Elephas maximus indicus: one gene and its partners. The protein of the gene in region 2 interacts with the protein of the main gene of each other region in a biochemical or structural test. Links are inferred from orthologs where the notes say so. Each region holds a gene or a part of one and is shown on either strand. Other genes may lie near its edges. The genes, in order: ITCH, MAPK8, GSTP1 and JUN.

What was found.
Region 1: of the proteins of MAPK8 (region 2) and ITCH, one has a biochemical effect on the other in vitro, tested with the Homo sapiens proteins (2 studies listed by BioGRID). The link is inferred for Elephas maximus indicus from reciprocal best matches to the Homo sapiens genes MAPK8 and ITCH.
Region 3: the proteins of MAPK8 (region 2) and GSTP1 form a complex in vitro, tested with the Homo sapiens proteins (2 studies listed by BioGRID). The link is inferred for Elephas maximus indicus from reciprocal best matches to the Homo sapiens genes MAPK8 and GSTP1.
Region 4: of the proteins of MAPK8 (region 2) and JUN, one has a biochemical effect on the other in vitro, tested with the Homo sapiens proteins (76 studies listed by BioGRID and IntAct, with this or other methods). The link is inferred for Elephas maximus indicus from reciprocal best matches to the Homo sapiens genes MAPK8 and JUN.

What each region holds. Positions count from the first base shown.
Region 1 is NC_064843.1:35,061,991-35,070,193, reverse strand, and holds the start of ITCH (E3 ubiquitin-protein ligase Itchy homolog), read left to right. Parts: upstream 1-4,994; 5' UTR 4,995-5,101; intron 5,102-8,203. UniProt on the Homo sapiens protein: Acts as an Acts as an E3 ubiquitin-protein ligase which accepts ubiquitin from an E2 ubiquitin-conjugating enzyme in the form of a thioester and then directly transfers the ubiquitin to targeted substrates.
Region 2 is NC_064834.1:1,515,013-1,523,094, forward strand, and holds the start of MAPK8 (mitogen-activated protein kinase 8), read left to right. Parts: upstream 1-4,910; 5' UTR 4,911-5,098; intron 5,099-8,082. UniProt on the Homo sapiens protein: Serine/threonine-protein kinase involved in various processes such as cell proliferation, differentiation, migration, transformation and programmed cell death.
Region 3 is NC_064825.1:130,624,956-130,632,432, forward strand, and holds the start of GSTP1 (glutathione S-transferase P), read left to right. Parts: upstream 1-4,206; 5' UTR 4,207-4,277; coding exon 4,278-4,278; intron 4,279-4,614; coding exon 4,615-4,650; intron 4,651-4,891; coding exon 4,892-4,998; intron 4,999-5,099; coding exon 5,100-5,187; intron 5,188-5,610; coding exon 5,611-5,714; intron 5,715-6,759; coding exon 6,760-6,867; intron 6,868-7,258; coding exon 7,259-7,447; 3' UTR 7,448-7,477. UniProt on the Homo sapiens protein: Conjugation of reduced glutathione to a wide number of exogenous and endogenous hydrophobic electrophiles. Involved in the formation of glutathione conjugates of both prostaglandin A2 (PGA2) and prostaglandin J2 (PGJ2).
Region 4 is NC_064821.1:103,111,490-103,117,987, forward strand, and holds JUN (transcription factor Jun), read right to left. Parts: upstream 2,202-6,498; 5' UTR 2,170-2,201; coding exon 1,180-2,169; 3' UTR 825-1,179; downstream 1-824. UniProt on the Homo sapiens protein: Transcription factor that recognizes and binds to the AP-1 consensus motif 5'-TGA[GC]TCA-3'.

The DNA of each region.
Region 1 (8,203 bases), on a different chromosome or scaffold from region 2:
TTTCTCTCCCTACTCCTTCTGGGACTGCATCCCGTTTCCAAGCCTCCTCTTCACCTGAGAGGCCTGGGAAGCTCCTTTCCTTGCTGGTAGTGGCCTCCTCTGCCCCTCCTGCTCTTGCTCTGGCAGGGCTGGGTCCTGTGCTGGCCTGCCCTGGGTGTCCAAGGCAGGAGGATGAAGGTGGCTTGAGGCTTTATCAGCCCCTGGCCCTGCATGCTGGCCAGGCCAAGATTGGCCTGAGCTCTGGATCCATTCACACTGCATAGAAGATGAGGAGACAGCCAAGCTGGAATCCCTGCACTCACCAACTCAGCTTCTCCTTGGAGAAGCATCACTACCTACCCTTGATCTCCTAGAATTTTCACAACATCCTAAGAGGTAGGCTGTTTTATTCCCGTTTAGAGATTTAGTCACTGAGGTTCAGGTGACTTGTCTAAGACCCCTAAGCCAGTTGTTCACAGAATCAGGACTAGATGCTTGATCTGTGTGTCTCCAAAGCCCCAATTTTTTTTTTTTAAATTGTGGTTTAAGTGAAAGTTTATATATCAAATCAGTCTCTCATACAAAAATTTATATACACCTTGCTATATACTTTTAGGGTCACTATGAGTCGGAATCGACTTGGCGGCAGTGGGTTGGGTATATACTTCTAGTTGCTATGCCCCTAATGAGACAGCACACTCCTTGTCTCCACCGTGTATTTCCCTGTCCATTCAGCCAGCTTCTGTCCCCCTCTGCCTTCTCATCTCCCTACCAGACAGGAGCTACCCACATAGTCTCATGTGTCTACTTGATCCAAGAAGCTCAGTCCTCACCAGTATCATTTTCTGTCTTATAGTCCAGTCCAATCCCTGTCTGAAGAGTTGACTTTGGGAGTGGTTCCTGTCTTGTCCAAAGCTCAGATTTTTAACTCCTGCTAGACAATGCCTTCCTTGTCAGAACTAATCTACCCTGTTGGTGCTAGCAGGGTTAGGATAGTGTCATCCAGTGGTTCTCAAAGTGTGATCCCTGGGCATCAGCATCAGCTGGGAACTTGTTAGAACTGCAAATTCTTGGGCCTTACCGTAGACTTTCTGATTCAGAAATTTTGGGGTGACACCCAGCAATCTGTTTTAACCGGCCCTTCACATAATTCTGATGCACTGTAAAGGTTGAGAACCTTTGGCACATAGTAGAAAAAGATGCATTTTTGTAACAAAGCAAGTATGTATTTAAAACATTTTTTAAAGTAAATTTTGATTGAAATATAATATGAATAGAGGAAATACACAAATCCTAAGTACGTGGCTCAACGAATTTTCACAAAGTGAACACACCCAGGTACCAGTACCCAGATCAAGTTACAGAATATTATAACCAGCACTGAGAAGCCCCTTTTGTGCTGCATTCCAGGTACCACCTCCCCTCAACGGGTAACCACTATCCTGATTTCTAATACCATAGATTAGTTTTGGGTAATATTTATCTAGTTTTAAAAATTGTGGACAGTGCCCATCAACAGATGAATAGATAAGCAAAGTGTGGTATATCCATTCAATAGAATACTACTCAGCCATAAAGAAAAAGGAATTCCCGAAACATCTTACAACGTGGATGAACCTGGAGGACATTAGGTTGAGTAAGATAAATCAATCACAAAAAGACAAATATTGTATATTCTCACTTTTAAGAAATGACAATAGAGACCAATGTTCATTGGTGGTTACCAGGGGTGGAGAAAGGAGAAGATGGTGAAGCATTCTCTAGGTAGGAGTTACTTTGTGTCTATGGTGATTGGAAAGGTGGCTCCAAGTGGGGGTAGAGTTTGCACAGCTTGACTAATGTCATTGATAATCGATAAACTGTGCATAAGAAAAAAGAGTAAAATGGCAAATGCTGTTATATATAACTTTGCAACAATAACAACAATCAAAAAAACGAAAATGGGGGGCTACAGGCTACAGATGCTGATACTAATTAGATATAACCAATCACCTCATGAGATTAGCTCTCTCTTGGTTTGAAGGCTTAGGGTCATGGTCTTGTGGGACAATCAAGACAACTGGCATAACATAGTTCTTTTTTTTTTTTTTTAATTTTTATTGTGCTTTAAGTGAAAGTTTACAAATCAAGTCAGTCTCTCACACAAAAACCCATATACACTTTGCTACACACTCCCAGTTACTCTTCCCCTAAAAAAAAAAAAAATTTTTTTTTTTTTTTTTTAATGAGACAATCTGCTCTCTCCCTCCACTCTCTCTTTTCGTGTTCATTTCGCCAGTTTCTAACCCCCTCCACCCTCTCATCTCCCCTCCAGACAGGAGATGCCAACATAGGCTCAAGTGTCCACCTGATTCAAGAAGCTCACTCCTCACCAGCATCCCTCTCCAACCCATTGTCCAGTCCAATCCATGTCTGAAGAGTTGGCTTTGGGAATGGTTCCTGTCTGGGGCCAACAGAAGGTCTAGGGGCCATGACCACCACCGGGGTCCTTCTAGTCTCAGTCAGACCATTAAGTCCGGTCTTACAAGAATTTGGGGTCTGCATCTCACTGCTCTCCTGCTCCCTCGGGGTTCTCTATTGTGGTCCCTGTCAGGGCAGTCATCGGTTGTAGCTGGGCACCATCTAGTTCTTCTGGTTTCAGAATGATGTAGTCTCTGGTTCATGTGGCCCTTTCTGTCTCTTGGGCTCGTAATCGCCTTGTGTCCTTGGTGTTCTTCATTCTCATTTGATCCAGGTGGGTTGAGATTAATTGATGCACCTTAGATGGCTGCTTGCTAGCGTTTAAGACCCCAGACACCACTCTTCAAAGTGGGATGCACAATGTTTTCTTAATAGATTTTATTATGCCAATTGACTAAGATGTCCCCTGAAACCATGGTTCCCAGACCCCTGCCCCTGCTACGCTGGCCTTTGAAGCATTCCGTTTATTCAGGAAACTTCTTTGCTTTTGGTTTAGTCCAGTTGTGCTGACCTCCCCTGTATTATGTGCTATCTTTCCCTTCACCTAAAGTAGTTCCTATCTACTAACTAATTAGTGAATGCCCCTCTCCCACCCTCCCTTCCTCCCCACTCTCATAACCACAAAAGCATATTTTCTTCTCAGTTTAAACTATTTCTTAAGTATAGTGGTCTTATACAATATTTGTCCTTTTGGTACTGACTAATTTCACTTAGCATAATGGCATAACATAGTTCTTAAAGTTTATGTTTTATCTCCCAGTACGGTTAGTAGTGTCTTGGGTCTCAAAAGCTTATGAACAGCCATGTAAGATACAACTATTGGTTTCTATTCACCTGGAACAAAAGAGAAAGAAGGAAACCCAAGAATCAGAGAAGGAACTGAATTACAGGACTAATATGAACCGTTGCCTCCTCCACCTTGAGGCCAGAAGAACTAGATTGTACCTAGTACCTAGTGTTCTGATCAGTGACACAATAGATGGATCCTGATAAAAAGGGAGAAAAATGTAGACCAGAACTTCAGATTCTCTAAGAATCCAAACTTACTGGGTCTATTAGGCTAGAGGAGTCCCCAAGACTACTGCCTTGAGTTACTCTTCAAATTTTGAATCAAAACTACCTCCTGAAGTCACCTTTAAACTAAGTAACAATTTAGCTTAAAAAGTAAAGATTGTCATCCTTGAGTATTACGTTCTTTTTAAAAAATGACCTGTATAAGACCAAATGGACAACAGCTATTTTAAAACATAGATGGGAAGGTTGGGGACTGGGAGTTTAAGTCAATGGAAGTGAAACAACTAGAACAGGAATAAGGAAAATGTTGACACAATGTGAAGAATGTAACCAATGTCACTGATCATTACGTCTAGAAACTGTTGAAGGGGAGCAGATTTTGCTGTAAAAGTAAAAAAATATATATATGTATATAGAGAAACGCAGAATCTGGAGCCTGAGGACTTGGGTTGGATCATTGGCCCCTGGCTGAGTGATCTTGGGACAGTCATTTAATTTATTTGAGACTTGGTTTCCTTCTCTGTTGAATGGTCATAAAAATACCTGGTACCTTAAAGGATCACTAAGTTTCCCAAAAGTACCTGGTGACAAAAATCACCTGGGGCACTAATTAGAAAACCCCTGATTACCCTAGCGCATACATTCTTAGGAACCCTGTTGGCACAGTGGTTAAGAGCTCTGTTTGAATCCACTAGCTGCTTTTTGGAAACCCTGTGGGGCAGTTCTACTCTGTCCTGTAGGACCATTTGAGTCAGAGTGGACTTGATGGCAATTGGCAAAAATTAGTTGGGGGAGTGGTTGGGAGGAGCAGAAAAAAATTGGTGTGTAAATCGGCTCGTAGAACACCTGGCACGTTGGCACTATTTAAGTATAAGCTATTATCGTCATCCCTAAGAGTACCCTGTTAAGAGGTTGAGAAGGGGGGATTTGAACCTAATCAGTGTAACTCCAGAGTGTGCATTCTAGGGTCACTATCAGTCGGAATCGACTTGAAGGCAACAACCCGTTTTTGGTTTTGGTATAGTTCAGTGATTCTTACGTACGTAGTATCACCAGAGAACTCGTTAGAAAGGCAAACGATCAGATCCCATCCTACACCTATTGATTGAATCAGAAACTCTGGGGTTGGGGCCCAGCACTCCATGTTTTAACAAGTCTTTTTGATGCACGCTAGAGTTTAGAGTTGGCACCCAACAAACAACAACAACAGAGTTTAGGAACCACGGCTGTAATCTTTAGAGGTTCTGCCTTCTCGTAGTGACAGAGTAGAACTGCCCCCGCAGGGTTTCCAAGGGGCGGTTGGCGGATTTGAATTGCTGACCTTTTTGGTTAGCAGTTGAGCTCTTAACCACTGCACCACCAGGTCTGGGGAGGGTGGTTAAAAAAAAAAAAAAAAAGCCAATCCGAGAGTTCCTCACACCTGGGGGCGTGGAAGCTTCGCTTTAGCTGCGCTGACCAGCCTCTGCCAGCTCTACTGGACCGGCAGCCGGCCGCGCGCAAGGCCTGCTGGGGCTTGTAGTCCAGGCCGCTCCCTAGCGGAGGCGCCTGCGCGTTGGCCGCCAACTTGCTCTGGTCGCTGTAGTCGGGGCTCGGGACCGGCTGCCATCTTAGTCGAGGAACTGAGGAGTCGCCGCCGCCCCGAGTCCCGGTAAACACCCGCGGGCGGACTGGGGGTGGTTCTAGGGAGAGGGGATAAAGCTGGTAAGAGTATCTCGGGAGAAGGAGGAGTGGAGCAGTGCGGTGCGCAAGGCGGGATCCCAGATCCTCGGCAGCTCCTTCCCTCAGCTGGTGCCCGTACGGGGCGCGGGGAGCTCGGGCCGGCGGCCAAGGCCGGGCGGGGGGTGGGTCGGACAGACGTCCGAGCGGCCAGTGCCGGGCCGAGGCTCTCGCAGCCGGTAGTTTCGCGGGCGCCAAGTTGTGAGAGGGCTGGGCCCTGGCAGGCGCGGCCAGGGTCCGGCCGGCGCCCCTCCGCCCCGCCAGGGAGCTACTGGTTCGCGGCCCGGCCTACGCGGGGCAGAGTGGTTGCGGTCGGCGCGGGCGACGTGGCCCCTGTGAGGGGCGGCGGCCAGGCCACCTGCTGCCGGTCTGGCCTTCCCGAAGACTTTTCGGAGCCCCCGGTCGCGAGGGGGACCCAGCACAGCGGCTGCCTCCTCTCCTCCTCCCTCCATTGTCCCCCCGCATGGTGGTCCCGGTCCGGACGCCCCTCCCGGTGCCCGCCACCGTCGCGGCCCCACTGGCGCCTCTCGCCGAGTTTGCAGACGTGGAGCTGTCACCGTCCTCCCTCCTGAGAATGCGCTTTTCTGTAGTAAAGACAAAAGTAGCCGTGGACGTATCCTAGGGGTCGAAACGTGATGAGGACATGAATCCAAGCGGGGAACTCAAGTTTTCACACTTAGTTCCGGGCCGCGACTTAGAGAGAGGTAAACACAGGGTCTGTGCTTCCGAAGACAGACGCTGGGCCTCAAGTTAGCCACCTCTGCAACCAGGTGAACTTGCAAACTACCGAAATTCACGATTCTCAATGACAGCTCGTTTTCTTGGTTGTATCCGCATCTTACTCTTGTTACATTATCTGTTATTATTTCACAGCTGCTATATAGTTTTTTGGGGGGGTGCGGGATGGGCACGGAAGAGTGGGATTTTTCTTTGGAAATTAAATGAGCCCTGAGTCAGTCAGCTACTCACTTATCTTTGCACTTAAATCAGTTCCTTTTGTATCTATTCATAATATAATTTGATTTTAAGTATGTAAATCCTAAACCAAACCCACTGCCATCTAGTCGATTTGGACTCCTAGCGACCCTATAGGACAGAGTAGAGCTGACCTGGGGTTTCCATCCCCCCCCCACCTCCACGGAGTGGCTGATGGGTTGGAACCGCGACCTTTTTTGGTTGGCAGCAGAGCGCTTTAACCACTGTACCACCAGGCTCATTTAAGTATGTAAAGACAGTGTATTTCCACCCTCAAAATCTGCTAAGGACTTCTCAGCTGAAATAAAGTTCTCCCAGCACATCTGGTGAGAACCTGCACTGTGTATTCACAGGTTTACTCAAGGTAGGGTTACTTTGGTTTTGAGATCTAGAAATGAAGGTGGAAATTCAACAACTTTTTTAAACAGTGAGTGTAAGTTTTTTGGGATGTGAATCCAAAAAGAATTCTCCATCTTCAGCATACAAATCAAGTCAACTATGATATGGTATGAATTAAAAAACCAGTGCAGAATACTTCTTCAGCGTATTCTGGTTTAAACCATTTCTACATTCGTTTAAGAAACACGTTATTACACCTATTGGGAGAGACAGAGAAGCTAGTGGTTTTCAAGTTTGACTATTAGAATAATTAGAGAGGTTATTAAAAGTAGAAATTCCAGGATCTCACTTCCTCATTGATTTAGTAGGTCTGGGTTGGCCTCTAAGAATTGATTTTTAAAACATGCCTCAGGTAATTCTGATGGTCTTGGGAACTATTGATGTAAGCAATACTGTGGATATACAGAGGATAGCTCAAAAAACCTTGAGACAAGAGAGGAAGAAGTGACCACTTTTACCTGGGCATTGGCCAGAGAAGTAGGCAGGATCTTCCCCTGGACCTGAAGTTGGGTCTTTGATGATGAGGAGTATCACAGAGGTGGGGAAAAGGAAGGACAGGGCAGGCAGAAGAACTGCTTTAATGCTCTATCTAAGTGCAGAGAGTTGTGGAAGAAAAAAGGTAGAAAAGGAGAAGGTTGTGGGACATGTGGCCAGAAAGGTAAAATGAGTCACCTATGTGAAAAGTTCTAAGTATAATGCTAAAAAATATGAATTTTATGTTGATAGTAATAGGTACAGATTTGTAAACAGGGAAGGGTGTAAATGCATGTGTGATTTAGAAAGATTGCCCTGGAGATAAAAGAGTGAAAAGATGGGAGAGTGGCTGTTGCAGACTCTTGTTAGTAGCTGTCATCTAGTCTGTTTTGACTCATGGTGACCCCATGTGTGTATGCAGAGTAGAACTGCTCCACAGGGTTTTCAAGGCTGTGACCTTTCAGGAGCAGATGCCTGAGGTGCTTCTGAGTAGATTCGAACCACCAACTTTTCTGCTAGTAAATGAAAGATAACAAGGACTAACTTTGGAGAGAGGTTGTGGGGATAATCAAAGGATTGAATTTAACACTTTACTAGTGCAATATTGTTGCTGTATTTTTAGATGAGGCTTTTCTAGGTCTGGAGAAAGGACACGTTTTCTGTCAAAAGAACTTATTAATAAGTCTGAATAATATTGTCAGGTTACATACGTTAATAGTATTAGACTGAATTGTTCGTTAGTGTCTTTGTGAAATTAGAAAGAACCAGGTCAGGTGCAATTTGGAGGAGGACTTGGAATTTTAGACTTATATTTATGACCGTCAACAATATTGATCTAAGCTTGTTGAAAGAGATGTTTTCCCACTCTACAGAAACTTAGTATTTGAATTTTAGAGTTGGAAGAAATTTTAGAGATCATCTAGTTCACAGTGACAAATATATTTTGGCTTATAGGCCAACTCTGATTGGAAATAGCTGCCAGAAGCACTGTGTTGAGAATTCTAATCTTGTCGGTTCTCTGGGGATTGATTAGTGATGCGTCCTGTGGATTCAGTTATCTATGGGTGATACGAATGCTGGGTATATGCTATCCTTGGGCTAGTCCAACTTCTTAGCAAAAAGAGAACTAAAGAGGTTAAATAATTAACCTAAAACTAGTTAAGAGTCAGAGCTAGAACTTTAACCC
Region 2 (8,082 bases):
ACAGTGCCTGGTACAAAGTGGGTACAGTGTGATGTATCACTTCTTGTGGGCCTTTAATGCCATGGTCTTGTAGCTCCTGCTCAGATGATTGGGTGGGATTGTGCAAGTAGGGTAATTGTGGCCCTCCAAGGGGATTAGTCAGTTATGTCATCCCAGCGGGCCTGAAATGAGCCATCTCAGGGGTGGGAAGGAGAAGATCCCCTTACGAAAGAAAGAAAAACAGCCAAGAGCGGAGCTCATCCTTTTGACCTGGGATCTCTGCTCTGAGAAGCTCCTGGAACCAGGAGACTAAGAGAGAGACAGAGAGAGATGTAAAACTGAAGATGGCGAGATGCAGTGGCAAAGAAACGGTGTGGCAGGAGAGACCAGCAGGAGAGGGCACAGTGGGCTCCCTAGCCCACAGAGCAAGAAAGCTGAGTGCCTTTGGGCAGGAGGCTTGCTGGCAGAGTAGGGAGCCTCTGGGCACTTATTGGCAGAGCTAAAAGAACTTTGTAACACTTGCCCCAGCAGGGTAGAGGCCGAGGGTGAGAGAGAGACCTGCCTGTGAGCATAGATGGGAAGAGGCTGTCTTGATGGAAGAGCTGTATCCTGATTGTTCCTGAACCTGAGTTGTAACCTATTACTTACCTAATAAACCCCATAATCATGAGTACCGTCCATGAGTTCAGTGTCGCCATTGCAGTGAGTTACCAAGCTCAGCAGAGAAGTAGAGAGTGCCGTGGGAGGGACAGTTGGTGTTAGAATTGGTAAGGATAGTGGATACAGGAGCCATGTCTGATCTCCATCTCATAGGAATCAGCCTTGGGCTGTTGATCTTGATTCTCCTTCCCTCTTGTGAAGTTAGAGGAGGTCAGATGCCACTTGCACATCAATTTTGCAGTGGGCATGCACTAAATATTTATGAGAAAAATGAAGGAAGGAGATAAAGAAGGCTGTGAGGGAGGGACTCCCTGGGTAGTATTAACAGTTAATGTGCTCAGCTGCTAATTGAAAGGTTGGCGGTTCAAGTCCACCTATCGGCTCCTTGGAAGACAGGTCTAGCAATCTACTTCTGAAAAGTCTGCCACTGAAAACCCTATGGAGCAATCAAAATAAATGGTATCACTAAGAAGTGCTCAGGAGAGAAGGATGTTTGTACTAAAAAAATTGACATATATAATTTGGCAACACCAACAATGACCAAAAAATGAGTGTATGGTCACATATGTATGTGTGTAGGCATACAGGTGTATTAGTAGGTACAGGTGTATACATATATGTGTACAGATAGTAGTAGCTATATAAAAAAAAGTAAAGGTATATATGTGCAGGCATATATATTCATATAGGACTCAATTACAGACACCTTTCAGACATAGACAAACACCTTAAAGAGATTGGTTTTCTTGGTTTGAAGGCTTAGGACCTTAGTGTGACAGGACAACTCAGTCAATTGGCATAACATAGTTCACAAAGTTCATGTTCAGCATCCTAGTGAGGTGAGTAGCATCTTAAAAGCTTGCAAAAAGCTATCTAAGACACAGTTATTGGTCTCTACTCATCACGAACAAAGAGAAAGAAAGAAACCAAAGTCTCAGAGAAGAAACTAGTCTATAGGGCTAATAGTTTTCACTACCCACGGCCTCCTTTACCCTGAAACAAGAACCAGATGGTGTTCAGCTACTGCTGCTGACCATTCTGATATGGGCCACAATAGATGAACCCTGATAGATAAGGAGAAAAACACGAAACAGAACTCTAATTCTTAAGAAGTCCATACCTGTTGGACTAATTGAGACCAGAGAAATCCCTGAGACTATTGCCCTGAGACACTTTTCAAATCTTGAATTGAAATGATCCCGAGGCCGCCTTTTAGCTAAATAACAGAGCAGCACGCAAAATAAAGGATATCAGCCACTCAGCTGTCAGATTGTTGTGCTGTGGTGGCTTGCGTGTTGCTGTGATGCTAGAAGCTGTGCCACCAGTATTTCAAATACCAGCAGGGTCACCCATGGTGGACAGGCTTCAGCGGAGCTTCCAGACTAAGACAGACTAGAAGGAAGGACCTGGCAGCCTACTTCTGAAAAAACTGGCCAGTGGAAACCTTATGAATAGCAGCAGAACATTGTCTGATATAGTGCCAGAAGATGAGCCACTCAGGTTGGAAGGCACCCGAAAGACAACTGGGGAAGAACTGTCTCCTCAAAGTAGAGTTAACCTTAACGATGTGGATGGAGTCAAGCTTTCGCTGACGTGGCACTACTCAAAATAAGAAGCAGCAGCGGACACACTGGCTGCAACAATGGGCTTAAACATAGCAGTGATCGGGGAGGATGGTGCAGGACCAGGCAGCGGTTCGTATTTTGTACATAGGGTCGCTATGAGTCAGAACCAAATCGGTGGCACCTAACAGCAACAACAACAAGCCATGAGTACAGTCCTCTTAAAAAAAAAAATCTAAAGGTCAACAATTACTCTAAAGCAAAGATGAGAGGACAAGGGGGCTGGGAAAATAGAGTACCAGAAATGGAACAAACAGCGCAGTGAAAGAGAATGTTGACTCCTTGTGAAAAACGTAACCAATGTCTCTGAACAAACTGAATAGAAATTGTCAAGTGGGTACCTAATTTACTGTGTAAACTTTCACCAAAAACAATATTATTAAAACAGAACAACCTTATGCAGCACAGTTCTACTCTGACACACATGGGGTTGGAATGTGTCAGAATCAACTCGAGGGCAACTGTTGAGGGAGGAAGAAAATGAAGAAACAATGAATGAAGGAATGAATGTTCACATTTATGTACCATTTCAGAATCACTTGAAATAGGTCAACCCAACATGTAATGAGAAGATAGACTATCAGCAGTCACTCATACTCTTCGATGAATATTTATGCGTTCAATATTCAAGTAACTCATTTACTTCTAATTATGAACATTTGAGAACTTAGGTACATCTGATCCAAACCATGATATTTTTGATCAGCTCATACGCATTTGAAAGCTGGACAATGAATAAGGAAGACTGAAGAAAAATTGATGCCTTTGAATTATGGCGTTGGTGAAAATATTGAATATACATACCATGGACTACCAGAAGGACAAACAAACCTGTCCTGGAAGAAGTACAGCCAAAATGCTTCTTAGAAGCAAGGACGGCAAGACTTGTACTTAGGATGTGTTATCAGGAGGGATCAGTCCCTGGAGAAGGGCATCAAGATCCTCAATGAGATGGACTGAGACAGTAGCTGCAAAGATGGCTCGAACATAACAACGATTGTGAAAATGGCGCAGGACCAGGCAGTGTTTCTTTCTGTTGTACACAGGGTCGTTCTGAGTCAGAACCAACTCGGCACCTAACAACAACATGAACATAACTGCTCTTCTTCGAAATCATGGAAAATACCTAAAGTATAGAAGAGAAACAAATCATCTTTCATTCCAAATCCAGTGGTTAGTCTGCTAAAATAATTTGGCATATTTCTTTCCAGGTTTGTTTCTATGTATGTGTAGTACATAAGTGGGACCATTCTGTACATATATATAGACATACAGACTTGGGGCCCTGGTGGTGCAGTGGGTAAGGATTTGGCTGGTAAATATAAAAGTTGGCAGCTCGAATTCACCAGTAGCTCCTTAGAAACCCTCCCTATAAATCAGTTCCACTCTGTCGTATAGGGTCGCAATGAGTCAGAATCGACTCGAGGGTAAGGGTTATATGGTGTGGACTTGTATCTTGCTTCTTTCTCTTAAGGACAGATTATGAACATTCCCCATGTCATTAAGAATTCCTTGAACACGTGGCTTTCAGGTTGCTAAAATGCCTTCCGCTACATGGATGTGGCGCTCTGGGGGCCGGTGGTTAACAGCTATGGCGAACTAAAGCTGCTGACCAAGAGGTCGGCAGTTCGAATCCACCAGCCGCTCCCTGGGAACTCTGGTAATTTAAATATCTTTCTACCAATTTTTGGATATTTAAGGGCTTGCCAATTTAACACTACCGTTTGCTGCCTAATTTCGTGTCACGCTTTGTGGGGCCCCAAATCGGGTAATATGACTTGCTAGACCCGGGTAGGTGCCTCAGAATGGTACGTATTGTCCGTGCCTGGGTGGGGGTGCCTGCTTGAGGTGCGGGTTTGGTCTGAGCGCGCCTGACCTTCAAGCCCGGCCGGAAGCTTTTTCTCAGACTAGCTGACAGCCCCAGGCAGATGCCGAGCGCTGGGAACCGACGCCTCCACGTGCCCCGCGCAGGGTCCCGCCCCTCCGGCCGCCGCCACGCCCCTCGGTCCCCCGGCCGTCCTCTCCCGCAGCTCCATTTCCAGGCGGCCTCCGCGAGCGCGCCTTCCCCGGAATAGCCCCGCCCCCGGGCCGCAGCCACGCCCCTCAGTCCCTAGGCCATCCTCTCCCTCAGCTCCACGCCTTCCCCGGGAGTAGCCCCGCCCCCGGGCCGCAGCCACGCCCCTCAGTCCCCAGGCCGTCCTCTCCCGCAGCTCCATTTCCAGGCGGTCTCCGCGAGCGCGCCCTCCCCGGAGTAGCCCCGCCCCCGGGCCGCAGCCACGCCCCTCAGTCCCCAGGCCGTCCTCTCCCGCAGCTCCATTTCCAGGCGGTCTCCGCGAGTGCGCCCTCCCCGGAGTAGCCCCGCCCCCGGGCCGCAGCCACGCCCCTCAGTCCCCCGGCCGTTCTCTCCCGCAGCTCCATTTCCAGGCGGCCGCCGCGAGCGCGCCCTCCCCGGAGTAGCCCCGCCCCCGGGCCGCAGCCACGCCCCTCAGTCCCCCGGCCGTTCTCTCCCGCAGCTCCATTTCCAGGCGGCCGCCGCGAGCGCGCCCTCCCCGGAGTAGCCCCGCCCCCGGGCCGCGGGCTCCACCCCCAGAATCCGGGCCCCGGGCCGCTCCGGCCCCGCGGGCCGCTCGGGAGGCGCGGGGGCGGGCCCTACGCGATGACGTGCGCGGGCCTGCGCGGTGGAGGCTCGCGTCCCTGTTACTCAGCGGAGCGGTGGCGGCCGGACTACGCGGCCCGGTGGCGGAGCCGCGAGCTTCGCTGGGGAACGGCCGCGGCCGCTGCGGGACGGCGCCTGTCCCCGCCGGCGGCTCCGTTGTCCTCGTCCGCGCCTCTGCCGGGTGAGTGCGGCGGGCGCCTCGGGGCCGGGGCGAGCGGGCGGCCGGGCGGACGGCCCTCGGTGTTTGTTATTGTGCGGCTGCCGCGCCGCCTTCTCCTCAGCCCGACCCCCTCCCGGCAGTGGGGGCGGGGGCGCGGCGGGCGGCGGGCGGCGCGGGAACAATAGCGGTCGGGAGGCGGCGGCCGGGCCGGGGCGGGGTGCAGGCGGGCCCGAGCGGCGCCCCGAGCGGCCCTGACGGACCCCGAGCGGCGCCCCGAGCGGCGCCCCGCCTGACCCCGAGCGGCCCCGGCTGCCTCCCCACGGGGCCTGCGGGGGCGCGCGGCGCTCTTTGTGCGGACGCTCTGGGCGGGCGCGGGCGGCCGCGCGGGAAGGGCCTCCAGCTCTGGGCGCCCGGCGGAGGGCGGTGGTCTCCCGAGGTGGGCTTGCGGTCCGCGGTCGGCGCGTCTCCCCGGAGGGGCGCCCCGTGGGGGCCCCGGGCTTTTCTCCCCACCCTCGTCCCTTTGTCTGCGGCTGTGTCCCCGACCCGTGGGGGCAGGGCCGAGTCCGTCTGAACGTATCTGACGGGCGCCTTTCGTCTGAGTCGCGAAAAACTCCCGGTCAGACCTGCCCCGCGGGTCCCTGCCGCGTCGCCCGCGCGCTCCGACGGTGCCCGGGGTCGCTCCGTGTCCGCCTCTGGGCGCCGCGCCGGGGCTCCGGGGAGACTGGACGGCCAGCGCGTTGTCTCCACACGAGCGTCCCGGAGGCGCCTCCTTGGCGGTCCCAGCGTCCGTCTGTCTGTCGTTCATTCATTCACTCAGCTCCTCCCGTGAGCTGTACGCAGATCTGTTTGAAGGTTAGGGGAGGCCCGTGAGTGGTGCGTGTTAAAGAAGAGAGAGTCGTGCTCTGGGCGTTTTTACACATTTTTGTTTTTGTAGTACGGCTGGAACTTCTAATGTCAATAGGTATTAGGAACTGGAGTCAGATTTGCTGTAAGTCTACAACAGATTTTATTTATTTCAGGTTTTATCTCCTAGGGCACTTTGTAATGGTTACCTCAGATTCCCCTGTTACCTTCAAGCCTAGGAGGTCAGATTTCGGAAGTGAACCTGCTTAGTGTTGTCCCCAAGCCAGGAACGTCTTACATCCGTGTCTTCAGAGCCTAGTCTGCAATATAGCAAGTGCCGAATAGTCAGACAGATGAAACGCTCTTTATAATTGGTAGTATTTAAAATTAAGTCTTTGAAAAAAACCCAAAAAACTTCTAATGTTCTCCATAAAGTTCCAGAGGCTTCATGCAAACTGTCACTTCCAGATATCTAATTGATCGGTTCATTCGTATTATCTGTCATGGCAATAGAGGCTTTTGAATCACTCCAGCATCAATTTTTTCCTGTCACTTCTAGGCCATATCCTAAAATAAACCTTGTCTAAAGTATGGTTTTTTAGTGTGATTGATCAAGTAAGGTAGATTGTGTTTTGTGTGTATATGTGTATGTGCAGCACATCCTTTTGTGAATATTATTTGAAAGATTTTCGGTGACTCTAAGTGGAAAAGCTAGGACAGAAGAAACAAGCTGCACAAATGTTTTATTAGGAGTGCCTAATTTATTTCTAATAAATTTTTGTAAATGTTTATTAGAAATGTTTAAATTCCTTGTCCTTACACTTTTGACAGAACATTTGGCTCCCAGTCTCTCTCCAACTAACTAAATACATTCTAGCATAGTTTTGGATATGAAAGGATTTGAGGCGAACTTCTGTTATCCAATGTAGGGTAGAAATGATAAAATTAGAAAATGATACTTTATTAAGATGAGGAATGAAAACTTTGAGATACAAACGTTTACTGCTTTACCTAGTTGAGATTTGTCAGATTCCAGTAAGGGTTACTGATAAAAATCCTTTGGCAGCAGCTCACAGTCAGGCTACATTTAGAATGAAAGTTTTTTGTTTTGTTTTTCTAAATTCTGTTTTTTTAATGGTAGCTTTTTTGAGATATAATTCACCCATACCGTAGAATTGACCCTTTTAGAGTGTACAATTTAGTGGTTTTTTAGTATATTTACAAAGTTGAGTATTGATCACCATGGTTTAATTCCAGAGCGTTTTTATCACCCTAAGAAGTGACCCCATACCCATTGGCAGTCAGTGTCCACTGCCGGCTAAACGCTGTCTTAAAGGAAGAGATAGCACTGACTCTGTTAGTAGGTGTATTCCATTGATGGGTTTGAAAAGGACGCCCTCTACGTGTCCTGGTAGATTAGGAAGCTATATTCTTTCTATTCCTTTACATCCTGGGGGAAATGCCACTTGGAAAGAAAATTGGGGTAAGAATAAATTATACCAAAATTGAAGAGGTTAGAATCTTAAGTATTTGCTTTATACTTAATATTATGGAAATGACCTCGTGGGGATACCCAGTGCACAGTGAAACAACTTGAAGTAATTTGTTGTTAAATGACTAGTCACATAGTATTGTGGTGGTAATTAAGAGTGAATCCAAGCCTGATGCTTGTTAGTCTGCTTTGCCGGCGAGTTGAGTTTTGACATACTTGAGTCATCTGGATGGTTGAGGTGCTTTGTTGCACATGTAGAAGTATAAAAGCATGCTGACCATTGAGAGGCCAGCTCTCTAGGGACCTCTGGTCAGGAGTGGTATGGGTAGTGCCCTTTCTGACTCATATAGTGCAAGGAAGTCTATGACCACACAGCTTTAGATATGAATCGTTGGCCTGTTTCAGTAAGCTGTGATGCTTATTGTCTTAGTCATGAGCTCCTTACCTGAACGTTTAGAAGCTTTGTGTTTTTGCTTGAACGCAGGTTACCTTGAAGTTTGATTTCACAGATGAGTTCTGATTCAACAGAATTTATGACTTAAAAGGTGACCCGCCAAACCCAAACCTGTTGCTGTGGAGTTGACTCTGACTCACGGAGCCCCGTGCACTGTATCACAGAGTGGAGCTGCTCCATAGGGTTTTCTTGGCTGTGATCTTAATGGAAGCAGTT
Region 3 (7,477 bases), on a different chromosome or scaffold from region 2:
GAAATACCACAAATGGATGGTGTCTCAGTCACCTAGTGCTGCTGTAACAGAAATACCACAGTGGATGGTGTCTCAGTCACCTAGTGCTGCTGTAACAGAAGTACCACAAGTGGATGGTGTCTCAGTCACCTAGTGCTGCTGTAACAGAAATACCACAGTGGATGGTGTCTCAGTCACCTAGTGCTGCTGTAACAGAAATACCACAGTGGATGGTGTCTCAGTCACCTAGTGCTGCTGTAACAGAAATACCACAGTGGATGGTGTCTCAGTCACCTAGTGCTGCTATAACAGAAATACCACAGTGGATGGTGTCTCAGTCACCTAGTGCTGCTGTAACAGAAATACCACAGTGGATGGTGTCTCAGTCACCTAGTGCTGCTGTAACAGAAGTACCACAAGTGGATGGTGTCTCAGTCACCTAGTGCTGCTGTAACAGAAATACCACACTGGATGGTGTCTCAGTCACCTAGTGCTGCTATAACAGAAATACCACAGTGGATGGTGTCTCAGTCACCTAGTGCTGCTATAACAGAAATACCACAGTGGATGGTGTCTCAGTCACCTAGTGCTGCTGTAACAGAAATACCACAGTGGGTGGTGTCTCAGTCACCTAGTGCTGCTGTAACAGAAACACCACAAGTGGATGCCTTTAACAAACAGAACTTTATTCTCTCACAGTCTAGTAGGCTGGAAGTCCCAGTTCAGGGCATCAGCTCCAGGGAAGGCTTTCTCTCTCTGTTGGCTCTGGAGGAAGGGCCTTATCATCAGTCTTTCCCTAGACGAGGAGCTTCTCAGTGCAGGAACCCCAGGTCCAAAGGACAAGCTCTTCTCCTGGCACTATTTTCTTGGTAGTGTGAGGTCCCCATGTCTCTCTGCTCACTTCTGTCTTTTGTATCTCAAAAGAGATCGGCTTAAGATGCAACCTCATCTTGTAGATTGAGTTCTGCCTCATTAGCGTAACTGCCTCTAATCTTGCCTTATTAACATCATGCTGTTGTTGTTGTATGGTGCTGTGGAGTTGGTTCCGATCCAAAGCAACCCTCTGTACAACAGGACAAAACACTGTCCGGTCCTACCCCATCCTCATAGTCGCAGCCACTGTGTCAATCCATCTTAGAGAGGGTCTTCCTCTTTTTTGCTTACGTTCTTCTTTACCAAGCATGATGTCCTTCTCCAGGGACTGATGCCTCCTGATAATATGTCCAAAGTATGTAAGAAGTAGTCTCAGCATCTTCTAAGGAGCATTCTGGTTGTACTTCTTGCAAGACAGGCTTGTTCGTTCTTCGGGCAGTCCAACCTGAGGGTCTCATCTTCCAGCACTATATCTGTCAAAGTTCTGCGGCTATTCATGAGGTTTTCACCAGCTAATCCTTTTCAGAAGTAGACCGCTGGGTCCTTCTTCCTAGTCTGTCTTAGTCTGGAAGCTCCGCTGAAACCTGTCCTCCATGGGTGACCCTACTGGTATACCAATGACGTGGCTTCCAACATCAGAACAACACGCAAGCCCCACAGTACAACAAACTGACAGTCACACTGGGGATTAACATCACAGAGGCAGGATTTACGACGCACTGGAAAATCACATCAGATAACAAAATGGTGGACAATCATACAATACTGGCAATCATGGCCTAGCCAAGTTGACACACATTTTGAGGGGACATAATTCAATCCATAACAAAAAAAAAAACCAATAAAAACCAAACCTGTTGCCATTGAGTCAATTCCAACTCATAGCAACCCTATGGGATGGAGTAGAAATGCCCCATAGGGTTACCAAGGAGTGGCTAGTGGATTTGAACCGCCAACCTTTTGATTAGCAGCCGTAGCTGTTAACCACTGCGCCACTGGGGCTCTGTTGTATATATTGCATTTTTTTTTTTTAATTCAGATCATTTTGTAACTTACACTTTTACTTTAACATTATGTCTTAGACATTTTGCTATTATATCTATTCTATGTGAATGAAATATTTGTGAAGCAAATGGCGTTAAAGATTCTTTAAAGCAGTAAGTTGGCAAACTTTTTTTTTCCGTAAAGGCCAGATGGTATCCGTTGCAACTACCAAACTCTGCCAGTATAGCGCAAAAGCACCCTTAGTGCGTAAGCAAATGGACACAGCTGTGTTCTAATGTAACTTTATTTACAAAAATAGGGAGCAGGTCAAATTTGGCCAGTAGGTTACAGTTCAAAGACCTCAGTTTTAAATCACTGTTTTGAATGACTGTCTAGAGTTCCTTTTAGGATTGTGGTTATTGTTATTGTTCGTTGCTGTCAAGTTGAGTCTGATTCATGGCGACCTTATGTACAACAGAATGAACTGTTGCCGGGCCCCGCACTGTCTTTATGATCGTTGGTACGCTTGAGTCCATGGTTGTGACTATTGGGTCAACCCATCTCTTTGAGGTTTCTCTTTTTCATTGTCCTTCTACTTTACCAGCATGATGTCCTTTTGTACTTACTGGTCTTTCCTGATGTCATGTCCAAAGTAAAAAACTGGAAATCTCACTATCCTCGTTTCTTAGGAGCACTCTCGTTGAATTTATTCTAAGACTGATTTGTTTGTTCATGTGGCAGTCTGCAGTGTCTTCAATATAATTTGCCAATACCATGATTTGCATCAATTCTTCTTTGGTCTTCCTTATTCATTGTCTAGCTTTTGCACACATCTGAGAGCATTGAAAATACCACGGCTTGGGTCAGGCTTGCCTTAGTCCTCGAAGTGACATCTTTCTTTTTAAAACTTTAAAGAGGTCTTTTGCAGCAGATTTGCCCAATGTAACACATTGTTTGATTTCTTGACTGCTATTTCCACGGACATTGATTACTGATCCGAGTAAAATAAGATCAATGACGACATCAATTTCTTCTCCATTCATCATGATGTTTATCTATCCAGTTGTGAGAATTTTCACCTTCTTCACGTTTAGACATAATCCATATTGAAGGCTGTAGTCTTTAACCTTTATCAGTAAGTGTACGTATGTTTGTACAGGCATACACAATGATTTATTAAACCGTTCTTATAAGCGTGTCATATGTTCCTTGCATGTGCTACTACCTGTGGAACTAGAAATGCATATATCTTATAAATAGAACGAATAAATGCATATGCATAATTTTAGGACAAAAATTCAAATTTTGACAAATATGAAAAGACATAAATTTGAAGGAGTTAAAGAATGAAAGGGACTTTTGCCAGCTTTCTATTGAGCGTGTTAGACTTGAGAAAGCAAATGAAGATAAGAAAACTCACAAGGGGAGAGCTCAAATAGTCCACAGCCAGATGTCAGGATCTAAAGCGGTCTCCTTAAGGGGAAGTGTTTACAACATTGAAATGATCAAACACTGGGCTAGGGGGCAGCGTTCAGAATGAGAGAACTCAAGTTACTCTAATTTGAGGTTTGACTTTAGATGACCCACTTTTTTGGAAGGAGAAAGATTTTGGGTTCTTTTTAAGAGTTTCCATTTGCCTCGTATGCATGTTGGTGACGCAGCGGTTAAAGTGATCAACTGCTACCTAAAAGTCGGCAGTTTGAAAGCACCAGCAGCTCCGGAAGAAAGATGGGGCAGTCTGCTCCCGTAGACATTTATGGCCTTGGAAACCCTATGGGGTGGCTTTGAGTCCGAGTCGACTCTATGGCAGTGGGTTTGGCTGGGTTAACGGTAACCAAGCTGGGTAATGGTAACCCACCTAGTACATTTTCAAAATCTGAGCTCTTTTTTTTTTTTTGCTTTATTCTTAGCAGGAAAAAAAAAGGAACAACACGCAAATATCTTGTTAGATTTACATATAAGTTTTATTTTTGAAGGATTTTAAACAGTATTACGCATTGATGTGGAGTCTGTTTCTGACTTATAGCGACCCTGTAGGGCAGAGTGGAACTGCCTCACAGGATTTCCAAGGCTGCAAATATTTATGGAAGCACACTGCCACGGCTTTCTCCCGCAGAGCATCTGGTGGGTTCCAACCACCCACAGTTCCATGACCAGCCAAGCGCAGCAGGATGGGTGCTTGGCGCCGAATACGGGCTCAGTGGGCGGCGGGCTAGGGCGCCCCCTGCGAGGCTGGGTGCTGACGAGGCTGCGCTGTCCCCTGGAACCCTACCGGATGCTGCAGCTCGGGGCCCGCCCAGCACCGTGACTCGGCAATTGGGCCAGCCGGGGCGGCAGGGGTGGGCCGGGGCGGGCCGGGGTAGGGCTGAGCCTTATAAAGCTCAGAGGCCGCAAAGCCTGAGGGTGGATCCCTGTCTGCATTCCCGCCTGCGACTGCGACCAGTAAGTCTGCGCGGGGCCTGGGCCCCAGGGGCCGGCGCGTATCCGACGTGGGGACCGGGATCCCAGGGGTCCGAAGAGCTCCCAGCACGGACCAGGGCTCCCAAGGGGCCGGCCCTCCCAGCGTCGAGTCGGGGCTCCCCCAGTGCCGGGAAGGGGATCCCAGGGGCCTAGGACGCATCCATTGTGGGATGGGGGTTCCCCGGGCCCCTTGGAGCCCCCAGTGCAGAGACCGGCTCCTAGGGGTCCTGAGCGCTCTGAGCTGGGGATGGGGCCCTAGGGAGGGCAGGTGGTGCACCCTTCTCCCAGGCTCTGATAAATGTCTCTTTGTCTTCCTAGTGCCACCCTACACCATTGTCTACTTCCCGGTTCGAGGTAGGGGCCTATGTCTGGGGGCATGCGTGGCAGGCGCTGCAGCCTAGGGACCCCTCACCCACCTTGGGGAGATTCCAGGTCCCCTTATCCCTCCCTCATGTGGCTCTGGGCCTGAGTCTCCTTCCCCCGTCCCTTCCCAGAGGCTCCCAAAGGCAGAAGTGTTCACCCCTTCCCCAGACCTGCCCCCTCCCAGTGTGCTGTGGGATGAGAGCCCTGTCCCCACACCCCTGTTTTTCCCCAGGGCGCTGCCAGGCCATGCGCATGCTGCTGAGTGACCAGGGCCAGAGCTGGAAGGAGGAGGTGGTAACCATGGAGAACTGGCTGCAGGGCCCGCTTAAGGCCTCCTGTGTGAGTGCGCAACCTGGGCCGAACAGGGCTGGGCCTAGGGGGAGACTGGGAGGGGGCAGCTGAGCTCAGGACCCCTCACTGCACCGTATTCCCTCCCCCAGCTGTACGGGCAGCTCCCCAAGTTCCTGGACGGAGACCTCATCCTGTACCAGTCCAATGCCATCCTGCGGCACCTGGGCCGCTCCCTGGGTGAGTCTTGGAGCTGTGGGGGCCCAGCCCGGGGCAGGGGTATGGCACGGCAGCCAGCGTTCCTGAGCCCCTCTCATTGCCAGCCACCTGAGCCTTGTCCATTTAAGTCAAGCTGCCCAGCAACCCTGTGGACTGGAGAGCACCCCATTCTGCAGTTGAGGAAACGAGGCCCACTGAGATTGTGTAACTAGCCTAAGGTCAAGTCCAGCCCTGTTTGAAGTTTTCCAGGCTGCCCCTACTGAGCCTGGGCACCTACAGTGTGTCCAGCTTATCTGTTCCTTTGTTCCTTTCTCCCATCGTGTATCCACATCCTCTCCCCTCCTCCCACCGAGGCCCAAGTCAGCCACATGCCTGTCAGTGGGTCAGCCAAGCGTTGTGTGTTGGTCAGGTGCCCAGTCATGCTGCCCCTCTCCCATCCCCCAGGACTCTATGGGAAAAACCCAAAGGAGGCAGCCCTGGTGGACGTGGCGAACGACGGCGTGGAGGACCTGCGCTGTAAATACGTCACCCTCATCTATACCAACTACGTGAGTGCTGGCCTTGGCTGGCCACTGCAGGCAAACCAAGACAGGGACTTGCTGGAGCCCCTCAGGCAGGGCATCTGGGCTGGGTCAGGCTCTGTGCTAGATCGAGACCATATGGACAAGACAGTCGTTGCCCTCACTGCCTGGGGGTGGACTATGGACAAGCCACAGGCAATGGCAGAACAGTACAAGGACGGGAGACATCGGCCTCAGTGGAGAGGCCAGGAGGGCTTCCTAGAGGAGGAGGTCGAGGATCTATAGCCAACTTCTGGAAGGAGGGGCTGGCACTTTCAGATGCATTTGGGGATCTGGGACCAGTTTAGCAGAGGCAGAGCATGTATGTGTGTGTGTGTGTGTGTGCATGTGTGCACACGTGGGCATGAGCATGTGTGCGTGTATATGTGAGTGTGTGCACAAGTGTTCAAGAGTGTGCACCAGGGTGAGCATGTGTTCCAGCATAGGTGAACGTGTGTGCATGTGTTCATGAGTATGTGAGCTTGTGTGTGTACATGTGCACATGTGTGCGTGTGTGCATGTACAAGCATATGTGTGCACGTCTGAGTGTGCATGTATTTGAGTGTATATGCATGTGTGGTTGAGTGTGTGCAGGTATGTGATCAATATGTTCTAGCAACGTGTGTGCCTATGTACTTGAGCGTGTGTGTGTGAGAGAGAGAGAGAGGGTTGAGTATCAGAAGCTGAGCTGCGGAACTGCTAGCTCCGAAAGGCCTGAACCAGCGTGCTGGACCTTCTGGGCAGTGGGGAGCCATGGAGGAGTATGTGAGGCCTAGAAGGACCCTGGTAGGAGCCAGCTCTGAGTGTTGCAGTAACCTGGGAAGGTGGGAACGGGGTAGAGATGAGTTAGCTGCCGGCACAGGCAGGGTTAGGTGATGGCCTGGGCGTGGGTTGAGCAGAGAGCACTGGGCCTCCAGTCCCCAGCCTGGGGGGTGCCATCACTGAGGGGAGACGGACAGAAGGGGGTGTCTGAGGGCTGGGGTGGGCGGCCGCATGAGCTGGAGGATGGTACACGGCGGCATCTTCTGAGCAGGAGGCAGGCAAGGATGACTATGTGAAGGCCCTGCCCGGGCACCTGAAGCCCTTTGAGACTCTGCTGTCCCAGAACAATGGGGGCCAAGCCTTCATCGTGGGAGACCAGGTGAGTGGTGGCCTTGCCCCGCCCCTTCCACAGCACCCTTTAGAGGGGAAAACAGATGCGGAGGCCCTGTGAGCCACCCAAGGTGGAGGCCGGCCAGGCGGTCTGCCCCTTCCACAGCACCCTTTAGAGGGGAAAACAGATGCGGAGGCCCTGTGAGCCACCCGAGGTGGAGGCCGACCAGGCAGTCTGCCCCGCCACAGCACCTTTAGAGGGGAAAACAGATGCGGAGGCCCTGCGAGCCACCCGAGGTGGAGGCCGACCAGGCGGTCTGCCCCGCCACAGCACCTTTAGAGGGGAAAACAGATGCGGAGGCCCTGTGAGCCACCCGAGGTGGATGCCAGCCAGGCGGTCTGCCCCGCCCGCTGAAGCCCCCTCACCCCTCTGCCCGCAGATATCCTTTGCTGACTACAACCTGTTGGACCTGCTACTGAACCACCAAGTGCTGGCCCCCGGCTGCCTGGACGCCTTCCCCCTGCTCTCGGCCTATGTGGCTCGACTCTGTGCGAGACCCAAGCTCAAGGCCTTCCTGGCCTCCCCAGAGCACGTGAACCTCCCCATCAACGGCAATGGGAAACAGTGAGGGCTCTGGGGCCCTGGTTGGAGGGGTGCC
Region 4 (6,498 bases), on a different chromosome or scaffold from region 2:
TGGAAGGATACAACTTTTGTAAAATCTGCTGCCAGTTTCTGCTTTGAGAATAAGCATCTATTGTTAAGTTTCCACTAACATTATAAACGGTCACAGCACATGCCACTTGACACAATCCCAAACTTTAAAGTATTATTTGACTTCCCAGTGGGCTGTCCCACTCCACCTTAACCCCATCTCCCCAGCCCCTTGATACACATTGCCCTTTGGTAAGCAATTCTATGTAGACAGTTGGGGGAGGAAAGAGTATAACTTGACCATAGCCTCAGCTATATCAGTTTCTGAAGTCCAATATAGAATAGGTTTTATTGCTTGATAGTAAGCATTGAGAATGATTTTAATTGACACTCCTAACTCTTTCAACTCCGCTTAGATGGTTAATCTATAGATAATGCAGAAAAGAGGTTGGTGGGGAGTATTTTTTCAATATTTTATTGTATTTTCTTAAATATCCTTTCTGGAATTTTCAGAAACAAAACATAAAAAAAATTATATACTTTATTACAAATTACAAATGGTAAACTCAGAGAGTGCTCCAAATCTCTTATTTACAAACAACACTGGGCAGGACACCCAAACAAACAAACAAACATGAAATAACTTACAAAGTCATGAAGCTGTTTATTGACAGTAATCAGCTTTCATCAAATTAAAAAAAAATATATGTACATACACAGTTAACGAAGGCAGGCCAGAAAGAGTTCATCTGTAGGCTCAGCTTCCCTCTCACACACCTCCCTCCCGCCTCCCCTCCCCACCCACCTCCCTTTGTGTTCTTAAGGAGTACTACAGAAGCAATCTACAGTCTCTATTGCAGTTTGTAACCCCTCCCCCACCCCCCTTTTAATACTGAATGAGATCGAATGTTAGGTCCATGCAGTTCTTGGTCAATGTTAAAGAAAAGTCTAACGTTCCGTTCGCGCGGGGACTGCCCGTCCGCAAAGCGGGGCAGCCCGCAGGCTGCTGCTCCCTGGCTCCACGCCAAGGGAGGGCGCGCCAAGTCCTTCCCACTCGTGCACACTGGGGGCGCCGTCAGGACGCAACCCAGTCCAACTTGGATACCCTTGGCTTTAGTCCTCGGACACTTCTTTTTTCTCTCTCTCGCAACTTGTCAAGTTCTCAAGTCTGTCTCTGTTATTTGTTTGTCTCCGTTTCCCCTCAACCCCCGACAGTCTCTCTTCAAAACGTTTGCAACTGCTGCGTTAGCATGAGTTGGCACCCACTATTAACGTGGTTCATGACTTTCTGTTTAAGCTGTGCCACCTGTTCCCTGAGCATATTGGCCGTGGACGCCAGCTCCGAGTTCTGCGCTTTCAAAGTTTTCACTTTTTCCTCCAGCCGGGCGATCCTCTCCAGCTTTCTTTTCCGGCACTTGGAGGCAGCGATGCGGTTCCTCATGCGCTTCCTTTCCGCCTTGATCCGCTCCTGTGACTCCATGTCGATGGGGGACAGGGGCGGCGTCTCCCCGGGCATCTCGGGGACCGTCTGCGGCTCCTCCTTTAGGGCCTGGAGTCGAGGGTGCTGCACGGGGATCTGCTGGGGCAGGTGATGTGGCGGCTGCGGCTGCTGTTGGGGCTGCGCGGGAAAGGCCAGGCCGCCGGCGCCATAGGAGGGCGCCCCGCCGCCGCTGCTCAACGCGCCCGGGTTGAAGTTGCTAAGGTTGGCGTAGACTGGCGGCTCGCTGTGCAGGCTGGCGCTGAAACCGCCGCTGCCGCCCGCCACGGAAGCCACCGCCGGGGCCACCATGCCCGCCCCGCTGACCGGCTGCGCCGCGGACGTGACGCTTGGCAAAGTGTTCTGGCTGTGCAGTTCGGCCAGGGCGCGCACGAAGCCCTCGGCGAAGCCCTCCTGCTCGTCCGTCACGTTCTTGGGGCACAGGAACTGGGTAGGGGTCGGCGTGGTGGTGATGTGCCCGTTGCTGGACTGGATAATCAGGCGCTCCAGCTCGGGCGACGCCAACTTGAGCAGCCCGACGTCGGGCGAGGTGAGGAGGTCCGAGTTCTTGGCGCGGAGGTGCGGCTTCAGGCTGCCCACCGGGTCAGCCAGGTTCAGGGTCATGCTCTGTTTCAGGATCTTGGGGTTACTGTAGCCGTAGGCGCCGCTCTCGGACTGGAGGAAGGAGACGTTGAGGGCATCGTCATAGAAGGTCGTTTCCATCTTTGCAGTCATAGAAGAGTCCGTCACTTCACGTGGGGTTAGTTTGGGCTGCGCGCAGAAGTTTCGGGGCCGCAACAGCGCGTTGGCAAGCGAGGGGTACCCGCGCCTCCCGCGGCCTTTGGCAAGGAAAGTTTCTCTAAGAGCGCGCGCACACGCTGGCTGTCCTCCCCCCAGCGCCCTCCTCACCAGCTCGCTCCAGAGAACGCAGGCTTAAGATGCCGCCTGCACCCTTCCTTCTCCGCTCTCGCGCGCTGCCTCTCTTTGAAAAGTCGCGGTCACTCACTGAGCGCTCAGCGGGCGCAGTGGTTGCTCGGACGAACTCGCTTCCCGGGGACAGCGGTCTCGAAGCGGTGCCGCTTAGTGCAGATCCGGCAGTGGCGAGCCGGCGGCGGGTCGCAGCCGCCCCGACTCCGACGACTCTCCCCTCCTCCGCTGCGAGGGGAGGGGGCTCCTGGCACCAGCAGCTCTCGCTCGCCCAAGTTCAGCAACCGGTGTGAGCGAAGCTGGACGCGCGTCCCTCCTCTCTTTCCTCTCCTGCCGCCTTCTTCTTTATCGCCGCTGCGGCAGCTTAAGAGGAAAGGTTTGCAAACGTTCGCTTCGGGACCCGGGTACCACTTGTCCCCTCTCCTCTCGGCTGGGAAAGTTCTTTGCCGCTGCAGCCGCTCGCTGGACTTCCCCCGGCTGGCGGGCAGTCACAGCTCTCCGCGGCTGTCAACGCCCGGGCAGCGGTGCTCTCTTCCCGGGGCTACTGGAGAAGGGGCTCTCCGGGCGCTCCCCAAAACACCAGCCCGGAAGCCACAGGCGCTAGCTCTGGGCGGTTAGCGAGAAAATGGAAAAGAAAAGAAGATTTGCAGTTCAGACTCTGCTGCCTTCCTGACTGACTGTCTCTGTCTGTCTGTCTCAGTCCGCGCGCCTCCACTCCCGCCTCGCTGCTTCAGCCACACTCAGTGCAACTCTGAGCCCTTATCCAGCCCGGAGCTCAACACTTATCTGCTACCAGTCAACCCCTAAAAATAGCCCATGATGTCACCCGGAGGCCTTCCCATTGGCTCGTGTCGCTCTCAAGGGGGCGGGCCCGCCCGTCACCATGGAGACCCCACCCTAGAAGATTCTTCTCCGGACCCGCGGAGGCTCACGGGATGAGGTAATGCTCCGCTGCCCTCCTACAGTTGGGCCCTTCTTTCTCGTCCTCTCCCCCCTCCCCCCCCCCCTCCCGCGCGACTCTGGCCCTTCTCTCCCCCTTCTCCTCCCAGGCCAGTCCTTCCCGGCCCGCCCGGTGCATTGTGGGCTGACGTCTTGGGGTTTGACTGTCTGGTGACGGTGGCTGCCGCGAGCGGGAGGACTCTCCCAGCCTCTGACCCAGGCGGGCTCAAGCTCGGGACCGAGATGCAGGGGATGCGGGGCCCCGGAAGGCTGGGGGACCGGGGTAGTTGTCTGGGGCCGAGGGTGTGGGGTGATGTGTGGTTTTTCGCCACTTGGGAGGCGCGAAGTTGGCCGAGGCATTTCGCCGCGCGGGGTTGGGAGGCTGGGAGCCCGCGTCGGTGACCCCCCCGCACTTCCGGGGGCGGGAGCGCCGCCCTTAAGGTGGCTCTGTTTAGTCCCCCGTGGGGGTGAGCTTAAGTGGGCCCAAGTTTAGGGCTGGTCGCACGGGGGTTGACCCCCCACGTTGAGGACGCTCTGAAGTTTGTCTCTCGTTCAAGTTCACGAGCGACCGTCCTCTCCGCTCTCTGGCAGTGCCCAGAGCCGAGTGGTTTGCATTGCTTGAAACTGGGCGCTCCGCTAAGTCCCGCTGCACCTCACGTCACCCTTCGGGGACCCTGGGGGGAAGAGGGTTGCAGGAGTTTACAGCTTTGCCTTGGAGGTGAGGTTTTTACAGGGGGAAGAATCAGGGGGCAACTCAGCGTCCATTTCGGAACAAGCGTTTAGGGATTCCGAAATTCTGGGAACCCCGGTGATCTTCTACCACACACCCCACCCTGCACACACACCACACACACACACACACACACCCGCCCTGATTTGCTTCGGGGAAAACAAGTGTCGAAAGCGGCAGAGACTCGCCAAAAGTCACGCAGCGACTCAGGAGCTTAAAAATCTCTCGACTCCCTGCTGGGTGGTGAGCTGATACCTTGTGCAGCCTCTAGGAAGCGCTAGACACATATAAGTGGTTGCTTTCTGTGGTGGTTATTTATCTGCCCCGCCCCCTCACTCCTCCCCACTTCAGTGACAAAATGTATGGTGGAAGGAATACCGAAGTCGGGAATCCTGCGTTCTGTCTGCCCCGTGCTGCCACAGTGTAAGTGAGCGATCACTGAACTTCTCTGTGCTTCACTTCCCTCATCTGCAAGTTAGCTGGTTAGATCTGCTTCCCTGGGCTGCAGGCGTTAGTGTATCATCTTGCCTCCGTGGCTAAGGAGGTGGTCGCCAAACACCCATTCCTTGACCTTCCTCCAAGTTTCCCAAAGCATTGTAGGAGGATGGAATGCCAGGACATAAGAGTGTAATTTGGCAGGACAAGGTCTGCTTTCCAGTGAGGAACACTGAGGGGAGGAGGTGAGTGAGGGTGGATCCGGTTAGAAGGCAACTCTTTCCCAGGCCGCCTCTCTAGGTCTAGGGTTTGAAGTTGGATCTGTAGTAGTTGAAGTTCCTAGGTACTTATTCTGACTTTTCTGCCTCTGAACTCGGGGGAATTCAGTCTTGAGTTCATAGCCCCCAGCCTTAAGGTATTTGTGGCTTTGAAAGTTCAGAATCAACAGCAGCTGGTGTTGGTGGAGAATCCGCCGATTTTTTTTCACTTGAGGCACTCAACTCTTCATTCATTCGTGTGGGAGAGGATACCTAAGTAGCTACTGTGAGCCAAGCACTGAGCTGGGACAAAATGTGAGGAGGCGGGAGGGGTAGGGATGCAACGATGGCAAAATCCAGTTCCTTCCCTTAAGGAGGAAACACTGTCCTCTATACTGTTGCCATGAATTATTTTCTGTTACATTTTATAACCAGAGAGCTGGTATTCTTAATTTTTAATATCACCGTAATAAAAATGATTTTCATGTATTGAATGAGTATTTTCCAGACATTCTCCTAAGCAATTTAAATATGCTGTTTTCTCCCCACAGCCATCTTGATAAGCATATATTATTATCATTTGTGTTTAACATGTGAGGAAATAGGCCCAGAGATTTCAAGTATCTTGTTCAGGACACACAGGCAGTTGAAAATTGACCTCGGATTTGTATTAATTTCCTTATTGTATCTTCTTGGCTCTGATAAACTTTCTTGTGAAGTATTAGTTGCCTGCAGAAGAAATGGAGCTTGTGGGAGAGGGGAAGTCATCTTGCCTGATCTCTGACGGTAACTCCTTTCAAAGCTCCCGTATTTAGACTTAGGAGTGTGGATAAATATATATCCTTTGCCTAAGGGTTCTGTGTGTTCTCTCTGCCTTATGTGATTTAGTAGGCTGATTTTCTCCTTATGCTGAGAAATGGCATATTTCATCCCCCCGAAATAACAAATCTGTTCATGATAACGCCCCTGCTTAGAAGCCTTCATTGGCTTCCCCCTTACTACAGAAGAAGGAGACCTGGTGGCATAGTTATTAAGCTCTTATCTGCTAACTGAAAGGTTGCCGGTTCGAACCCACTGGCTGCTCTGAGGGAGAAAGATGTGGCAATCTGCTTCTGTAAAGATTTAAACCAAAACCAAACCCACTGCAGTAGAGTCGATTCCGACTCATAGCGACCCTATAGGATAGAGTAGAACTGCCCCATAGAGTTTCCAAGGAGCACCTGGTGGATTTGAACTGCCGACCTCTTGGTTAGCAACTGTAGCACTTAACCGCTACGCCACCAGGGTTTACAGCCCTGGAAATCCTATAGGACGGTTCTACTCTGTCCTACAGGGTCACTGTGAGTTGGAATCGACTTGATGGCAGTGGGTTTGGTTTTTTTGGTTTTACTACAGAAGAGAGTTCAGACTCCTTTGCCTAGGAGAAGGGGAGCTTTACATTTTAGCTCCTGCTTTCCCCAATCTCTCCTCTCACTCCCAGTATCAGCCAGGAAAGGCTGGCTTTATGCTGCCGTAACAAGCCCTAACATCTCAGCGGCTTTCATTGGGTTACAGTCAAAGTTTATTTTTTGCTCATGCTACTTGTCCTATGTGGGTCTGAAGGGGAGCTCTATTCAGTGTAGTCACTCAAAAGACTCAGACAGAAGGAAGCTTCACCTTGACACATGCTTCTCACAATTATTTTGGCTGGGGGTAGAGAACGGGCTCTCAGCACACCCACCCGGAAGTGTCACACATCACTTCTGCTCATATATTGTTGGCCAAAGCAAGCCACAT